Canis lupus familiaris: one gene and its partners. The protein of the gene in region 3 interacts with the protein of the main gene of each other region in a pairwise test. Links are inferred from orthologs where the notes say so. Each region holds a gene or a part of one and is shown on either strand. Other genes may lie near its edges.

Region 1 (4,274 bases), on a different chromosome or scaffold from region 3:
TCACAAAAATAGGCATTACGTGGCTCACTAGCCATTCTATAAAATAGCAATTCAAGACACTTACATATTAATAATAAAACTTTTCAAAAGTTTAATATAATGGGGTAAACTTTCTTCTTTTACATCTACTGACTTTAAGTTTTAATGGAGAAGATCAATAAGTAAGATGGAGGGCAGAGTACAAACTGTAGGCTGAAAAAGTTTTATATATTTCTAGAGGCCTGACACATAACAATCTTCATAAAGCTAAATGAGACTTTTATCAATAATCTCAGAATGAAATTTAACCAGGCACTGTTGATGCTAAGGTTCTTTGAGATTGTTAAAATTTACTTTCCTAGCTATCAACAAAGAAAACACTTTCATAGATGTTAAGTCATCAGAAGGCTATTCTAGTTGTTTTATGGATTCAAAATTCTATGGTTAATATATTTTAACATTTTCATAACAGTGACTTCCTAAGCTTTGGGAAAGGGAGGTGTATGAATTTGTGAGCCTCAGAAAGTACAGGACTAAGACAACTTTATTCTAATCCCTAAGTATTTGTTATAAACTACTATCCGGCAATCACAGAAATACCAAAAAACGGAGCTCACAGGCTGGCTCAGTCAGTACAGCATGTGATTCTTGATCTCGGGATTGTGAGTTTGAGCCCCATGTTGGGTACAGAGGTTACTTTAAAAAACAAACAAATGGAGACCAAATTTATAGTGAATAGTGAAAACGAGGGATAACAGCTTCAGTTAGGTATAATAGGGCTTAATTAATTTCTTCTCCTTCCTTCTCATTCTTCTCTTGTATGGATACACCACACAAGGGTAAACTACTCCACTGGATTCAAAAGCTACATTTCATCAGCCAAACAAGCTGCTGTTATTATTGTTAAAAGATGGCCCCATATTCACCACCCTATGGATGAACAATTTCAAAACTTATGGACAAGAGAGAGAAGTAGCAGTCAGTTAATCAGCCAACTAAGCTGGTTCTAGATGTAACCACTTTCTTGCTGCTCCACTTTGGCTTTGTTACCAACAATGTAGTGGGAACTCCTACACACCATGAATCTTATGCCTTTAAAATTAAACAATATAAAAATAAAATAAAATAAAATAAACAGTAATTCAAGACAACAATTTTTCTGAAGCTAAATATAAAGTTAACACTAAGAAAAAGTGTGGAAATATATATAAGTAACAAGGTATGAGGAATGAACTCTGGATATGAAACTAAGAAATCTGGAGTCAAGTTCCCTTCCAACTCTATCTAGCTACGAACAAGTAATTCCAAAGAGGTATGCAAAAGAACGACAATTGTACTCAAGAATTTCCCATTTTACCAGGTCCCTAAACATTTTAAAAACCTACTTTATTTAGGAAAGATGGATCAATATCAACTTAAAATGTAATGGTGTTCATCTATTCAGGGAAAACAGATACTATAGAATAGAGTACCTTCACACTTAATTAAGAGATTAAGTGGTAGTGGCTACAGAGGTTTTGGTGGGTAAAGGGAAGGAAAAGTATGCAATATCAAATATAAAACAAATCTTCAAGCAAAATAAATTTGAAAAAGCAACCATTCTTCAAAACGAGGAAAAGAGATTCCTGTCTTCCCCAAGTAATACCTGTTGCTAAAGGATCTTTCATCGATGCTTTCAGAGATTCCTTTATCGCCTTTATCTTATCCAGAAATGCCAGAGATCCAGCATGTGAAAACTGTTTGGCTGACTGCACTGCATTATCATGTTTAGTGAACTTGTGCTTTACAGAATTTCTTCGAGAGTATGAAACTCGTTTGGGGAACAAAACTTCTTCCATGAATTGTTCTTCATCTTCTGGCTCCTCGTTCAAGAAGCTCTGGTCATTTTCCTCTTTCACATGTGTCGTGTGGCCTTCACTGGATGGTGTGACTTCAGATTCACTGCCTTCTGCTTGACCTGACTCTGGAAGCTCCTCCGAGGAAATTGGAACATTGATGGTCTCAAAAGCATCATCATTTTCTTCTGACGCAGTAACAGCATTCTGAGCACCAAATTCTTCTTCCCGATCAGACATTTTTCTGAACCAAAAAAATATATGAAAAATAAATATATATATATATGTATTTATTACACATAAAAAATTCTTACACCAAATATCAAATTCAGTGCTGGTATACAGTGATGTTCATAACATACTGCAATGTTGCTCACTATTTTCTTTTAAATACTGATTATTTTAGTAACGGCATTAGGTAAAAGCACCGGGGAATTTTTAATAAAAACACCATGAAAAGTAAAAATATCACTAAACGAGAACCTCAAAACACAATTTGAGAAAAATCTACTGTCAAGAATATATTGAAAAATATTTTAAAATATATTGTCAACGCTTCCCTATCCAATGAACAATGCCTTGTGAAAGGGTTTATTTGAAAAGCTTTCTTTCTGAATACAAACTAACACAGGACTTTTATTTCTGGGATTACAACGGATCAGAAGCTGTAAGGGATCTGCCAGCGACCCAGCAACCACACCCTGTATGGTAAGCACTCTTTGTAGTAGCTTTGTTCTCACAAACTGTAGCAAGTCTCCAATGACTTTTGTTCCCCACAACAAACAAGTGTGGGTTGATTTTGGAGCTGACTAGTGCCCGAGGTACAGCAATCCAGAGCTCTGGCTTGGGAGACTGTGACAGCACCCAGGACCTGGGGCCAGAGTGGGCTCGGGCAGCCAAGGGCCAGGCTGCAGGGGCAGCAGCGGGATCAGAGCTCTGAGGAGCCAGTACATCAGGGAGCCTACCTGTAGAAACTGGCAGCCATCAAGGGAGGATAGAAGTGACCTGGAGGTGTATTTCTGTGGCAAGAGCAGGGGCGGATTAAAATATGGAACAAGTAGTGAAGTGGGAAAGCTGTGTTTGGGGCTAACACATTAAGCACAAATCCTTACATAGAAAAAAAAAAAAAAAACCTTAGTGAAGTTCTCTAGCCTTCCTCAAATATGGAATATCTGGAATAAAAATATATATTTGTTGAATTCAATGAATATAGCATTATAATTGAAGAGAGAATTGGGAAACTAAAAGATAAATAAAATGATTTGATATAGAATGCAGCAAACAGATAAGGATATGAAAAATATGAGAGATTAAGGGCCATGCAAAAGAGAAAAAGTCTAGCATATCTATTGCTAAGTATATCTTTCTGTGAGCTCAGAATGGTTTTATACTTTTAAAATAAAAAAATAGCAATGAATATGCAGCAGAGACTGTATGTGGCCTGAGAAGCCCTTTCCAGAAAAAGTCTGTCAGCCCCTGATCTAATTAACAGATGTCAAATCTGAATCACAGAGGAAACAAAAAGATAAATGAGAGAAAATATTTTTAAAGTAACGGTTGAGAATTTTACAAAACTCTTTTTTAGTATATGTGCTGCCAAAGCAAGCATGAGAATTTTACAAAACTGATGAAAAGTATGGATCCAAAGATCCAAGAAGCATAACATAAACATACACCCAATGGGATAAATATAAATAAATCAAACCCATATGCACTGTAATTACATTACAGAATAACAAAGAGAAGGTCTGGAAAGCACACAGTGAAAAAGGACATATCACCTACTGCTTTGGATTAATTTGCTAATATTAATACAAAGGAAAGAAAAGCAAAATCACTGCGGATTTCTCGTCAGAAATATAGAAGCCAAGGTAACAATGAACTAATTAAAAGATAGCTATCAACCTAGAATTGTGCATAGAGCAAAATTCTCTTTCAAGATAGAAAATAGGGATCCCTGGGTGGCGCAGCGGTTTGGCGCCTGCCTTTGGCCCAGGGCGCGATCCTGGAGACCCGGGATCGAATCCCATATCGGGCTCCCAGTGCATGGAGCCTGCTTCTCCCTCTGCCTGTGTCTCTGCCTCTCTCTCTCTCTGTGTGACCATCATAAATAAAGAAAAAATTAAAAAAAAAAAAAAAAAAGAAAATAGAAATATTTATACATAGTTACCACAAAGATATCTGCTCTAAAGAAAGTTCTAAAGGATATACTTGAAGGAAGAGGAAAATGGGGTCAACAGAACTTTGAAGTGCAAAAGAAAAGGTAAACAAATAAATTATAAGCATACGGGTAAACCCGAACATATACTGTCAACAGAATAGTAGTAGAAAATTAAAATATTAGACAATAAGAATATATGACTGGGAAGGGAAAGATCAGAGTGAACTGTTCTCAAATTCTTATACTTTTTACGAAATTGAGGGATAGGATACTTAACCCTAGACTTTGTTAAATTAAAA
Region 2 (4,154 bases), on a different chromosome or scaffold from region 3:
TGGCCGGAAGGTGGGGGACAGAAGTCCTGGGGAACGGGTGGCAGGCTCTGGAGGGCCCTGGCCCACATCCAGGGGTAGCGTCTGGGGTGGCCGGGGCAGGACAGGATCCTCAGGGCTGCTACGGGGGGCCTCAGGCCGGGCTCTGAATGAGGGGGAGATCCGGGGGTCTGGGGGGCTTTGGATCAAGGATGTGGAGCCTGTGGGACCAGAGGCCGGAGCTGAAGGCTGCAGATGCGCTTCAGAAGAGGGGAGAGGTTTAGGAGCTGGGGCAGCCTTCTGTTTAGCTGGCGTCTGTCCCACAGAGGTCGAGGCTGAGGTCACAGAAGCTGGAGCCAGGGCCTGTTCTTGAGAGGACGACAAGACTGGACTGGGCACTGGGGAAGAGTTGGAGGGGGGCTGTGAGTGTTGCTCCTCAGATGCCAGGGCCAGGCTCAGGCCTGAGGCAGCCAGTGCTGGCTTGGGTCCCACGGAGGCAGGTGGCACCTGCTTCTGGTCCCTGGATGTTGGAGACAGCCTGGGCCGCAGGGTGGCTGGGGGAGGCCTCGGCCCCGCTGAGGCAGATATCACTAGCTGCCCCAGGGATGTCGGAGCCAGGACCGAGCCTGAGGTCACCGCAGGAGGCTTTGGCCCAGCCGAGGCAGACACGACTAACTGGCCCACAGATGTTGGAGCCAGGCTGGAGCTGCGGCGGGCAGGAGCTGTCTTCTGTCCTCCGGGGGTAGACAGCGGAGCCAGGATGGGTCGGGGAGATGCCAGAGCCAACCTGGGCCCCTCTGTGGAAGGTGGCACAGCCGCTCGCGGCCCCACAGCTGCTAGGGCCAATCTCGGTTCTGAGGGTGCCGGGGCTGCATTCTTCGATGGGAGTTGAAAACTTGAGTCCACCTGGAAGAAGACCAGTCAAAGACTCAGGGTAACCCTAACCAGGGGCTCGGGCCCCGGCTTCCATGGAGACCCCAGCATACTCTGGCACATCTTTGCAAGGAAGTTCTTCCTAATTTCTCACTTCAATCCATTCTGTTGCAAATCAGCTTCTCTTTTGGAGGAAACAGGAGACAGAACCTTATCTCCCTCTCTCAAGTCTGACACCTCTCACAGATGGGGAAACTAAGACCCCCAACTCAAATGAGGCAGCGTGTGAGCCAAACCCGAGGTTTCTTCCCTTGCCTTCCTGGCTGACTGATGCCCACTCCCTGGTCGCGCTGGAGGGCTGGGTGTCTGGAGTCAGGTTCTCTGGGCAGCTCTCCCTGCATTCCCTCCTGCTCCCCTGGCTAAGGGCTACCGACCTAACACCCCGGATCTGCCCTCTCTGGACACCTTGGGTCTAGCCTATTAAATTTCCCTCCTTTCCTCCATAGTTCCTCCAGGAACCCTCAGCTTTGTCCCTGTCAAGGATCCCAAACTCCTTGGCCACAGTCCTCCCTGTCCTCCTCACCCATTCCCAGAGTTCCATATAGAAGCAAGAGCCTAGGGCTAAGACTAGCCATGTCAATTCTAAGCCCAGCTCTCTGTCACCTTAGACAAGCACCTCTCTGCCCAGGGGCTCAGTTTTCATCTGTAAAATGATGGAATCCTGAGAAGCCTTGGTCTCATATTCTGTGCGTTTATGAGCCGAACATTTTCTAGGATTCCATTTGAACCCCATGGAATAGTCTGTCCTCATCAAGTGTGATTCTAACATTCTGTGTAAGTCCAGGATCCTGGCAGATCCTGGCACTGCACTTCTCTGTGCCCAATTGTCCCCTCTCCCCTGTGTCCCTCACCTTTGAGGACAGACAAGCAGGTATCCTCTTTTTGTCCGGCAGGTGGAGTGGGGGCAGGTGGAGTGGGGGAACGTGAGGCCCTGCAGGGACCTCCTCTCTCTTTCCCATCTGTCCTCTGTTTCTGATGCCCCTATCTCCAGAAGACGGGATAAAATGTCCTTTGCCAGGGAGGGCAGAAGGTTTACACTCGCCCTGAGGTGGCCCCATCCTTGCCTCCAGACATGCAGCTCTGTCTGTGTCCCGTGTCCTTCTCGGTTCAGAGAATCTGAAACTCTGCCTCCACCTTCCTCCCCAAACTTAGCTCTTTGAGACTGCATTTTAGGCTTCCTCCTCGGCTCCAAGTGTCCCCCCAACCACCACACCACCTCCAGCACTAGCAACTTAGACATCCCAGATGTCACCATTTTAGTTTTCAGGAACAAGCCTCCTCATTTTGCATTGGTTCAGAGAGGACAAGCAACTTGCCCAAGGTCACACAGCAAAGCTGGAGCACAGCTGGATCCCCTGACACCCAGTCCAGGGCTCGCTGGGGGCTCCCGGAGATGGCGAACTCCATCTCTCTCTGGGTGTCCCATCACTGCCCCCTCAGCCCCCAGAGTGCCCTGTTTGCCTAGCCCCTGCTCGGTGGGTAGAGGAGAGTGCCAGCCCCTCAGCCAGGGGCACCAGGGTGCCTGCCGTGTGTGGGGGTGTGTGGGACCAAGGATCAGGGATGGGGTGCTAGGTTTTAGGGGTCTTACCTTGGAGGGTGCCCCAGTTTGGGAAACCCCATGGGGCACAGGCACGGGCAGGGGACCTAGGCCAGCCCGGGTCCCTGGCCTCCTACTGCCACTGCTGCTCTGGCCCTCCATGTCTGCAGCCCCTAGCAGCCCGGGCTCCCTCGGGCTCCGGCTCTAGCTCCTCCGCTCCCGGGAACCAGTGATGTCATCAGCCGTTTCAACCTGCTGAGAATTTAAAGACACAGGCACCTACTTGCCAGCCTAGAGGTGGCCAAGGCAAGGTGGCCTGCACTCTGGGAGCCCTTCAGGCTGACTGCTGAGGCTGAAATGGCCGTGGGGCAGGGTGGAGAGTGTGCCCATTGGCCTGGCTTGGGGCCCGACCAGCAACATGGAGGAGGCTGGCTGTCTGTCCCCACCTTCCTGCCAGTAGGCCTGGTGGGTTCTCACTCAAGGGTGGGGTATTGACACACCTGACAGGTAAGGTAGAGACAGGTAGCTCGGAGGTCAGCACCCTCTCCAAGGCCACAGAGACACCTAAGTCCCTGCCATGATCCTGGGAGCTTGACTCCCTGCCAGCCCAGGGCTTGCTTTGCCCTCACCTTTGCCCCATTTCTGGGCCTTGGTGCCAGCCCCCCTGCCTGCTCTATCCTTCCCATCGGAGAACCAGACACTCAGGCTCCAACTGCTGGAGCCTCAGCACCGCCCCTGCTATTTTACACACACCTGGCCATCTGCCCTGGATGTCTCCACAGCCCAGCCCCTCTCACCTTTCCTCTTTCCAGTATGCACTGGATGTGGTTTGCTAGAGGGACTCGCTCAAGGTCACCCAGCAAGGTGGGGAGATCTTAAGAGCTACAGTGAGGGGAGCTTTCTCAGTAACCCAAGACCCATGGGAGCCAATTGGGGTGTCTAGGGGAAGGGAACTAAGGTGGAGAAAGGCCCAGCAGTAGAGGAATAGACTGGCAGGAAGGTCAAAAACAGGCCTGGGAAACTTCAATGGCCAGGACCCAGCACAGGGTCCAGGGAAATGTTTGCTGAATGAACGGATGACTCAGTCAGGGAGTAAGGAAAGTGAATGAGTGACAGGGCTCAGATGTGGCCAGGGATGGCTGTGGGCCCTCTGCTTCTGCTTTCTTCTCTCTCTTACTCTTATCTGCTAAGAGATCCTGATTTCTCCAGAATTGCTGGATTGCTTTGAGAGGAATGATCACACTTAGTTTAGCCAGGAAATGTCCAGAGTTTTGTACCCAGGGCTCTTGGGTGGTCCACAGTCACTTCTGTATCCTCATGGGCCTGTGTTGTCCCCTGTATGAAAATTGCATGGACAGATGCCTCATCCCCTTCTCCTGGATGGGCTTCCTACCTTTGCTTGACTATCTCTGGTTCTAGTCTGTGTTCCCTGGCCAGTGACTCTGTGAGGTTGGAATTTGTAGGGGCAGAGACCCAGGCCATCTTAGGGCTCTGGAGTAGGAAGGATTTGGGGTGATGAAGGATGGTGGAAGTGATGAGTGGTTACAGGGGAGGTGATTATAGTGGAGATAACGACCTATGTAATTATGATCATGGAAATGGAGGAGTGACACTGATGATGGAGGTGGTGGTGATGGTTCAGATAAATGGAGGTAGTGGAGGTGATGACAAAATTACAGATATTGGGGATGGTCGAGATAGCAGAATG
Region 3 (4,267 bases):
CAGCCGCGATAACCTCGACCCCGTCCCCTCTCCCCGGGCCCGGACGTGCGCGACTGGAAGTGACCCAGTCCCGCCAGATTAGAGCGGCCCAGGGATGCCCTGAGCACTCTGTGCGTCACCAGTTTTTAATAAAAGTGCTGAAGAGCCTTTGGCCTCGGTTGTGGGGCGCAGGGAACCACAGCAGGGTGGGAGCCCGTGGGAAAGTGCGACCTCCCAGGCCGGCGGGGGGGAACTAGATGCTGGCGCGAGGGCTCGGGCAGAAGGGCCTTCACCCGGGGTCCGCATCTCCATCGTTCCCCCAAGAACTCAGGTGCTGGTGCCGCCGCACCACCCCGACCCTTTTCCCTTGGCACTGAGCTCGCCAAACCGTGCTTGATACCAAGGAGATGCCCCGCAGGGGTCATTCCACTTCCGTCCCTCAAATGGGCCCGGATCCGGAGAAGGGCAGGATGGTGATGGGGTCACTCGGAAGCCGAGACTGAGAGTGAGCAGTGAAAGGAGCTGCGGGTCTGAACACATTAGCCCTTTATTGAGCCCCTCCCCCGCGGCTGGGCGCCGAGCTGGGTGGCGCAGCGGTCTCTGAGCAGGTCCTCCGCGACCCCAGCGCCAGGCCCCGGTGCGCGGGCTCCCCAACAGGGAGCAGCTCAGTGCCCGCCAGTGCCTGGGAAAGAAAGCTCGGTGGGCGGGCGTTCCAGAGGAACAAGGCAGCTCCGAACCCCAGCTCGCCCCTTCTCCCCCAGCCACGTGGCTTTCTCCTCTACCTCCCGACCCAACCTGGTCTCCCAAAGCCCCAGAGGAAAGGCTGGTGGGAAAGAGAGTGTACTTCTGCACGCGCGCTAGGGGGCGCCCCTCCCGCTGGGGGTGGGGAGGCCACCAAAGATCGCTGGTGCCGCAGGGCGGCCTCACTGCAGAGGGGCCCGGGGCGTCGAGCCAGCCCCGCCAGGCCCCTCGGGCCACACTCACCTTCCGGCCCATCCGGCCGCTCTTCCTCCGGCCCTGCGCTGCCCTCTTCCCCGTCCAATGCCACCTCCTCATCCTCTTCCTCCCCGGAAGCGCCTGTCCCCCAGGAAGACCCCGTGAGGTGGAGTCCCTGCTTCTCTGGCCGCGACCTCCCCCCCCCCCCCCCCCCGTCCCCCGTCCCCCGTCCCCCTTCCCCGCGTCGCCTCGGGACGCCCAGTCCCAGCGCCCGCCGCCCCCTCCCATCCTCACTCCCTCACCGGGCTGGAAGTCGATGGTCCTCAGCATTTCGGCCACGTGCTCCACGCTCACGGTGAACTGCTCCATGCTTTCATAGCCCGGTTCTGGCCGTCCTGCCAGCTCCACTTTCGACATTGTCCCGACCCTGCGGCGCGGCAGCCGCTCAGCTGGAGTCGCCGCAGCACCCTCAACCCGCTCTGCGGGGCAGCCGAGCCCAGGCAGCCCCTCTTTGCCTCTCCCGCTCCGCCTACTCACTTATTGATCAGCTCCTTGGCCTGCTGCAGGGAAGAAGGGAGGGTGAGCGTAAGCACCGCGCCAAGCGCTGGCAAAGTCCCATTGCTGGCGCCCACAGTCCTGCGCGGTAGGCGCGGATGCATATCCCGGGTCGTTGAGGAGAAAACAGACTCAGACTGGGTGACTTGCCCGAGGCCGTGGGGCAGTTGGCTGCCAGAGGTAAGACTGGAGCCCAGCCCTCCTGGTGCCAAGGCCCCCACTGCCGCCACTCTGCGGCCTCCCGCCCTCCCCCAGCGCCCACCTGGAGGTACAGCGCCATCTGTGGCTCCTCCATGGACTGGATGGCGGACTCCACGAGCTTAGAGGAGGCTTCTAGGTGGTCTCCATACTGGCGGATGAGGCCCCGGACGCGCTGCAGCTTCTCCTCCTGCTCGCGGGCCAGCGCCTGCAGCAGCTCGGCCTTGCGCTCCTCCAGCACGGAGCACAGGGCCTCGAACCTCTGGTTAAGCAGCTGCTTCTGCCTCCGGCTGTTGTCCTGAAAGAGCGGAGCAAGGATAAGATTTCTAGCTGGGAGAGCACGCACCTACTTGTCCCACTCCCCAGTAAACAGGCGGCACAGACAGGAAGGAAAGTACCCCACCCATAGCCACGGGCTGCTGATAACCCAGGTCTTTTCAGTAATACCAATTACAAGATTTTTAAAAATTGGGATATAATTGACTTTTAGCATTATATTAGTTTCAGATGTACAATGTAGTGAAATGTACATATTGTGAAATGATCATATTTGTACATATTGTGAAATGATCACAAGTCTAGTTATCTATCATTACATATAGTTACAATTTTTTTTCTTGTGAAAACTTGAGATTTTCTCTCTTTAGCAAATACAATATTTTAAAGGAGTTCGGAAGTATCTCTGGTCCTAGTTTTTACTTATATTATCTCATTTAATTCTCAAAAATATCCAGTGAGGTAGCCATCATATTATTATCATTATTTTATATGTTTAAAACAAAGCATAGAGAAGTGAAGTAACTGGACCAAAGTCACGGAGCTACCCTGGGAACTCAAACCTAGTAGCTTGGCTAAGCATATCCCACTAATTGTGATTCCCTCCTCCACCAGGAACCCAGAAATTTCCCCTCTCTCCCAACCCAGACTCACCTCGATGGTCTGGCACACTTCCTCCATCTGTGTGATCACTGCTTGCACACGGTCGTTGCCTGCCACCAGCATTGCGATGCCATCACTGAGCTCGCTCTGCCACACACACAGGCCAGCACTTAGAGCTGGAGGACCCTGTCTAGAGCTGTACCCTTCCCACCCCAGCCAGGGCTGCCTAGGAGAGGACTGTCCCTCCACTCCACCAGCAGTGTAGCTATTCCAGAGATCTAGTGGCTTGGTACTGTCCAAGAAGTGTGAAAGCACATTTGTGGATTCTGTAAGGAGATGGAAAGAGGAGGGCCTCCATCAACAAATGAGAAAGGGACAGACATTTGCCAAATATCCACCAATTGCCAGGCCCTGGACTAAATGCTTCGTCTGTAGATTCACGCCTTCCATCAATTCAGAAAAATTCTTCGTAATTATTCCTTAGGATACTATTACCTCATCTCCATTCTCTTTATTTGCTCATTCTGTGACTCTGAGGAGACATATGTGCTCATCCTTCTCCTCTCCCAGTGCTGCATCCTAGGCTACTTTTTCAGGCCTGCCTTCCTGTTTGCTAATTCTTTCTTCAGAGGAATCTGTCATTTAATTTACCCTTTGGATGTCTTATTTCAACAATCACATTTTCATTTTTAAAAGCTCTATTTGGCTCTTTGTTAAATCTGCATGTTTGGCAATCTATTATTGCTAAGGTTTTATTCCATCCTTTTAAGAAATCATTTTATGCACAGTAATTCCCAATTCTTTAATATTTCCAATATCTGAATTCCTCAGAGGTCTAATCTCTAATTTTGGTTTCTACCGACTTCACTCAGGTACACTTCTTTCTGTATCTTCACTTTTGAATTAATATTTTGTTGTTCTTAATCTAAGGAAACCCTAAGAGCCTAAATTGGGTGGGTTTCCTCCACGCAGATTCTGCATTTGCTTTTGTCAAAAGCCGGTGGCACATCTGACTACCTTAGTTCCTGAGATTCCAGTTTAACCCAAGATTTGTGGAGGTCTTCAGTTCAGGTGTCCACCTTTCAGGAGTCTGGAGGCATAGTCTCAGCTGTCTAGCTCAGGAATACTGCCAACATTTGTCCTCTGATATAATTTTTATTTCCCTTTTTTAAAAGATTCATTTTGTTCATGAGAGAGAGAGACTAGGGGGAGGGGCAGAGGGAGAGGATCTCAAAGTAGAGCATGGAGCCCAACATGCAGCTTGATCTCACAACCCTGAAATCATGACCTGATTTGAAATCAAGAGTCAGATGCTCAACCGACTGAGCCACACGGGTGCCCCACTGATATAGTTTTAAAATTATGTTTTATGTCAAATGTAGTTGTGTGGTAGTGAGAGGGCCTGGAGAGTATCTAGGCTGCCAAACTGAAGTTGCTTGTATCCATCTAATTGTATCCTTAAAATAACTTTACAAGTTGGCATTTTCACCCTCATTTTATAAGTGAGGAAAGTCAGGGTCAGAGAGGTCGAGTGACTTACCTAAGGTCACACTGAGTCATGCATAGAGCTGGGACTGTAGCCCTGATCTGCCAGCCTTTAAAACCAAGTGGAATGAGAGGCTGAAGTTGGAGACCCTGTTCACTGTCCCCAGCCCCACCATGCCTGCTCCCTCCACTGCTTGATACCTTCTGACGTTTGTAAATGGTGGGCAGTGGGGCC
Region 4 (4,052 bases), on a different chromosome or scaffold from region 3:
GTATATAGTAAGTGCTCAGTCAATGACAATCCAAAGAATGAAAGTCTCCATCTGGATTAGAAAACAGGTTGGCTTCAGATTCAACAATGCCCTAGACCCAAACAGTGACTCACAGCTGTGAAATTTCCTCATCTCAAAGGGTGCTTAGAGTTCATTTATTCGAATCCTTTTTAAAAACCTGTGGTTTTTTCCATTGACATATTTAAGTGTTGGAAAGTGGAAAATCCACAAAAGCACAACAAAGAAATGAACTGCTATTATAAATGATTATACATGTGACATTGCAATTATGTACTTAATATGTAGTTATGTGTACATAGTGCTTTGAAACATACTTTTATTTTTATATTATAGTTGCACAGAGAGAGAGGCAGAGACACAGGCAGAGGGAGAAGCAGGCTCCATGCACCGGGAGCCTGATGTGGGATTCGATCCCGGGTCTCCAGGACCGCGCCCTGGGCCAAACGCAGGCGCTAAACCGCTGCGCCACCCAGGGATCCCTGAAACATACTTTTAAAAAGCTTTCTTTGCATTTTCCTCATACTTTAAATATCTTTAACTACATCATTTTTAATGACTGCATTACAGTCATCGGGACTGTGGGGATAATTAAGGGTACCTATCTCAAAGGGTTATGCCATGAGCACTGACCGGAGCTATGTCATGTGAAGAGACCCAGCATTTGTAAAAGGCTAGATAAACTTAGCTCTTCCGCAGGATGGCTTTATATAACCAATCCTTTTTTTTTTTTTTTTTTTTTTTTGCTGAGCATTGGAGTTATTTCCATTCTTTTGCTATGGCAAATAACGCTGGGCTATATTAATCTTTGCTCATATCTTTGGTCATTTCCTTAGTAAAGTTCAGGACTGCTGGGTTTGCACATTTCACAATTTCCCACTGAGCACGTAGGGGAACAGAGAGAGAAAGGGGCTGGCCCGGGCTCACACAGCGAGCTGCAAAGGCGGACCTGGAGACTAGCTGGGGAGCCCAAAGGGCGCCTCATCGTGTTGGGGACCGGGAGGAAGGCCTGGCCAAGGGAGAGAACCAGGCTCCAGAGCGGCGGCGGCCGCGGGAGCAGCAGGCCGGCGGGGCAGAGCGGCGCTGGGCTGGGGGGCGAGGCTGGGCGCTCGCTCGCGGGGCCCAAGCTAAGCGGTCGCCTGGCAACCCAGGCGGCGCGGCGTTCGAACGGAAGCGAGGAGCCAATCAGGATGTCCGGGGCAAACCATTCGGGCGGCGGGGGGAGAGCGGCGAGCTCACTTCCCTTTCCTCTGCGCCCCGGGGACCTCCGGGCCGGCGGGGGCCTGGGGACAGCCTGGTGCCCCGGTCCGTCTCGGGTACGCGCAGCCGCTCGGAGGAGGCCCCTGCGGGCCCCCACGCCGGGTTGGGGCGCACCGAGCCGCCTTGGACGCGGCCATTCCCAGCCCGGGTCCGAGCTGTCAGCCTCTTCCAAGACCCGCACGGGCGGAGCCGGGACTCGCCGAGCTCGGGCTTCAGGTGAGGGGGCGGGTGGTCTGGGTCGGAGGGGGTCCGGTCGCCGAGCGCCTGCTGTATACGTCCTCCCGGCGTCGTACGTGCGGGAGGAGGTGGTACCCCATTTCACCGAGGAGAACGCTGAGGCGCCCGGAGGCAAGTGTCCCATCCCTGGCTGAGAATCCAGTTCACATCTTTCAGCTCCACCTCGAAATCTCCAGTCTGGGTAGACCCAGATTTGCCTGGAGAGGTCCAGACGCTCAACTGGTGGTCAGCTCCTCAGCCTGCAAGGCTGCTATGCCCTGGAGCCCAGGCTGGATCACCTACCTCCTGCGCCGCTCCTGCATTGCCCCCTGGGTGCCCCCTCTGGGCATCTGTCTTCCCTTCTCTAGGACGCCAGAGGTTGGATTCAGGGCTCGTTTGGGGTCCTTCTGCCCACAGGGTACTGAATCGCAGTGCCATCTCAAAGGGCTGTTTTGGGGGATCCGACTGGACCGACGTGTCTTGGTTAGGTGCTAGGTGGGCAGCAGGTGCTTTGGCCCTGGAACCACTGTTAGATTCTTGAGAATCTGCTCCAGGCTGGGGGAAATGGGTAAAGGCAGCCACTGAACGTTAAGCCACTAGTCAGCAGAGACTTTGGAGTTCAGGATGGGGCTGCTGACACCTCTGGCTGGAGCAGCATACGTAGACCAGGCCCTGACTCCTGGGGATGCTCTGGGAACTCAGAAAGAAAATAAGTCTTTCATTTATTCTTTCAACAAATATTTATTGACTTTGTATGCCATGCCCTGCCCTCCCCTTTGTCTATTTTGTTTCTCTCAGTGGCATTTGCCCATCTAATGTCCTCTGTATTTCACTTATTAGGGAGTTGATATCTTCTTCCACTGGAATGTGATAGGAGGAGGGGCTAAGGTGGCCTCCCGGGCAAAATTGAGGGGTGCCAAAACCTCTAATCAAGATAACTAAAGCTAACAGTTATTATTTTCTTAAAGATTTATTTATTTTAGAGAGAGAGAGATGGAGTGTGGGAGTGGGTTGGGGGATTGAGGGTGAGGGGGCAGAGGCAGAGGGGGAGGAGAAACAGATCCTCCTTTTGCAGGGGAGTTCAAGGGGGGAGGAGGGGAAGCTGGATCCTAGGACCCTGAGATCATGACCTGAATGGAAACCAAGACTTGGAAGCTCAACCGACTGAGCCACCCAGGTGCCCTAAAGCTAACTGTTACTATTTGCTGCGTGTTCTGCTGGTAGAGATCAACTCACATGGCCTCTATGGAACACAGTACACCGTCTCTGTCACGATTACAAGCACGTCCTCAGCCCAGCTGTCTCACTTCTAGGCAACGCAATGTAGGTGCAGTGACGCCGCAGGCTGGTTTGTAATAGGGCAGGTCTGGACACACACTAAATGGTCATCAGCAGGGGCTGACGAGCTCTTTATGTTACTGATGTGCCACCACACATATTTTTGGACAACATATATTATTAAGTATATTAATACATATATTAGAATTAATACTATATTAACATTATTAAAACAACATGTATTATTGAGTAAAAAGAGCAAGGTGAATACAGTACACACAGCATGTTGCCATATGTGTACAAAAATAGAAAGAATTTATACTCATTATTGCTTGATCTGCCTAAAATCTCCCTGGAAGGACACACAGTTGTCTGGTTACAGTGGCACCTGCAGGGAGGGGAACTGGGTGGCTGGGGACAGGGGTGGGAAAGAGTTTGTTTTTTACTTCATTCTCTTCATAGTTTTTGAATTTTGAGTCATGGGCATATATCATCTGGTTGCATTATATACATATGAATCATTATAGATGATATATTTGATCATAAGACCAGTGCCCCATCTGTGATCTGTCATTGACTTGCTGTGTGACTTTGGGAAAGTTTCTTCACCTCTCTGGGCCAAGATAAGAAGCCATGATGGCAAACTCAGGTCTGGGAAGAAGGCAGTCCAGGACAGGAAGTGGGCTTGCCCCGGAGTCTACCCCAACCTCCACCTTCACTATCCTTGTGAGCCAGGACCTTCCCTGAGGCTTTGCATGCAGTCTCTGTCTCCACTGCAAGCCCGTTTGTCCTCATTTTGCAACTTCAGGTACACACTGAGGCACAGATAATTGAGCTGGTGGAGCTGAGCTGTCCGCTGGCCGATAGAAGATCAGTGCTTCAGGCGTCTGTGCCCACAGCCCTCCTTCAGTCCGCTCACCTCTCTCTTTCTGAGATGTGTGCAAGTGTGCCCTGGGCAAGGCCCACTGCAAGCAGGTCAGGGCATGAGTGTCTGGGGAGACTCCAGAAATAGCACGGAGCCTGGCGTGGCCCTGGAGGATGCCCAGCTGGGTGTCTCTGACCCGGACAGCTGGGCTGAAATCGAGCTGGCCTGCCCTATTGGCTGGCCCCCTCCCTGCTGCCTGGAGCCTTCCTGATCCTCCTCTGGGGCAGGTGAGGGCCTCCCTGTCTCCACCCAAGTCAGGGCCTGGCTTCTGCCGAATGGAAAGAGCGAAGCAGGTGGAAGGAAGGGGTGGGGTGGGGGGTGCAGAATGTCATGAAAACTATAAACGTCGAAGCCA

The links. The genes of interacting proteins can lie anywhere in the genome.
Region 1: the proteins of TRIM54 (region 3) and IQUB interact in binary tests that used the Homo sapiens proteins (3 or more experiments, as listed by UniProt). The link is inferred for Canis lupus familiaris from reciprocal best matches to the Homo sapiens genes TRIM54 and IQUB.
Region 2: the proteins of TRIM54 (region 3) and INPP5J interact in binary tests that used the Homo sapiens proteins (3 or more experiments, as listed by UniProt). The two-hybrid records come from large-scale screens. The link is inferred for Canis lupus familiaris from reciprocal best matches to the Homo sapiens genes TRIM54 and INPP5J.
Region 4: the proteins of TRIM54 (region 3) and FAM110A interact in binary tests that used the Homo sapiens proteins (3 or more experiments, as listed by UniProt). The two-hybrid records come from large-scale screens. The link is inferred for Canis lupus familiaris from reciprocal best matches to the Homo sapiens genes TRIM54 and FAM110A.

What each region holds. Positions count from the first base shown.
Region 1 is NC_049235.1:61,093,782-61,098,055, forward strand, and holds the start of IQUB (IQ and ubiquitin-like domain-containing protein), read right to left. Parts: upstream 2,803-4,274; 5' UTR 2,800-2,802; coding exon 2,780-2,799; intron 2,059-2,779; coding exon 1,625-2,058; intron 1-1,624. UniProt on the Homo sapiens protein: Adapter protein that anchors the radial spoke 1 (RS1) complex to the A microtubule of outer doublet microtubules in axonemes. The triple radial spokes (RS1, RS2 and RS3) are required to modulate beating of the sperm flagellum.
Region 2 is NC_049247.1:24,526,091-24,530,244, reverse strand, and holds the start of INPP5J (phosphatidylinositol 4,5-bisphosphate 5-phosphatase A), read right to left. Parts: upstream 2,803-4,154; 5' UTR 2,609-2,802; coding exon 2,498-2,608; intron 883-2,497; coding exon 1-882. UniProt on the Homo sapiens protein: Inositol 5-phosphatase, which converts inositol 1,4,5-trisphosphate to inositol 1,4-bisphosphate.
Region 3 is NC_049238.1:21,340,351-21,344,617, reverse strand, and holds the end of TRIM54 (tripartite motif-containing protein 54), read right to left. Parts: coding exon 4,234-4,267; intron 2,695-4,233; coding exon 2,599-2,694; intron 1,967-2,598; coding exon 1,733-1,966; intron 1,476-1,732; coding exon 1,453-1,475; intron 1,343-1,452; coding exon 1,218-1,342; intron 1,057-1,217; coding exon 964-1,056; intron 662-963; coding exon 645-661; 3' UTR 503-644; downstream 1-502. UniProt on the Homo sapiens protein: May bind and stabilize microtubules during myotubes formation.
Region 4 is NC_049245.1:20,607,902-20,611,953, reverse strand, and holds the start of FAM110A (protein FAM110A), read left to right. Parts: upstream 1-1,250; 5' UTR 1,251-1,494; intron 1,495-4,052.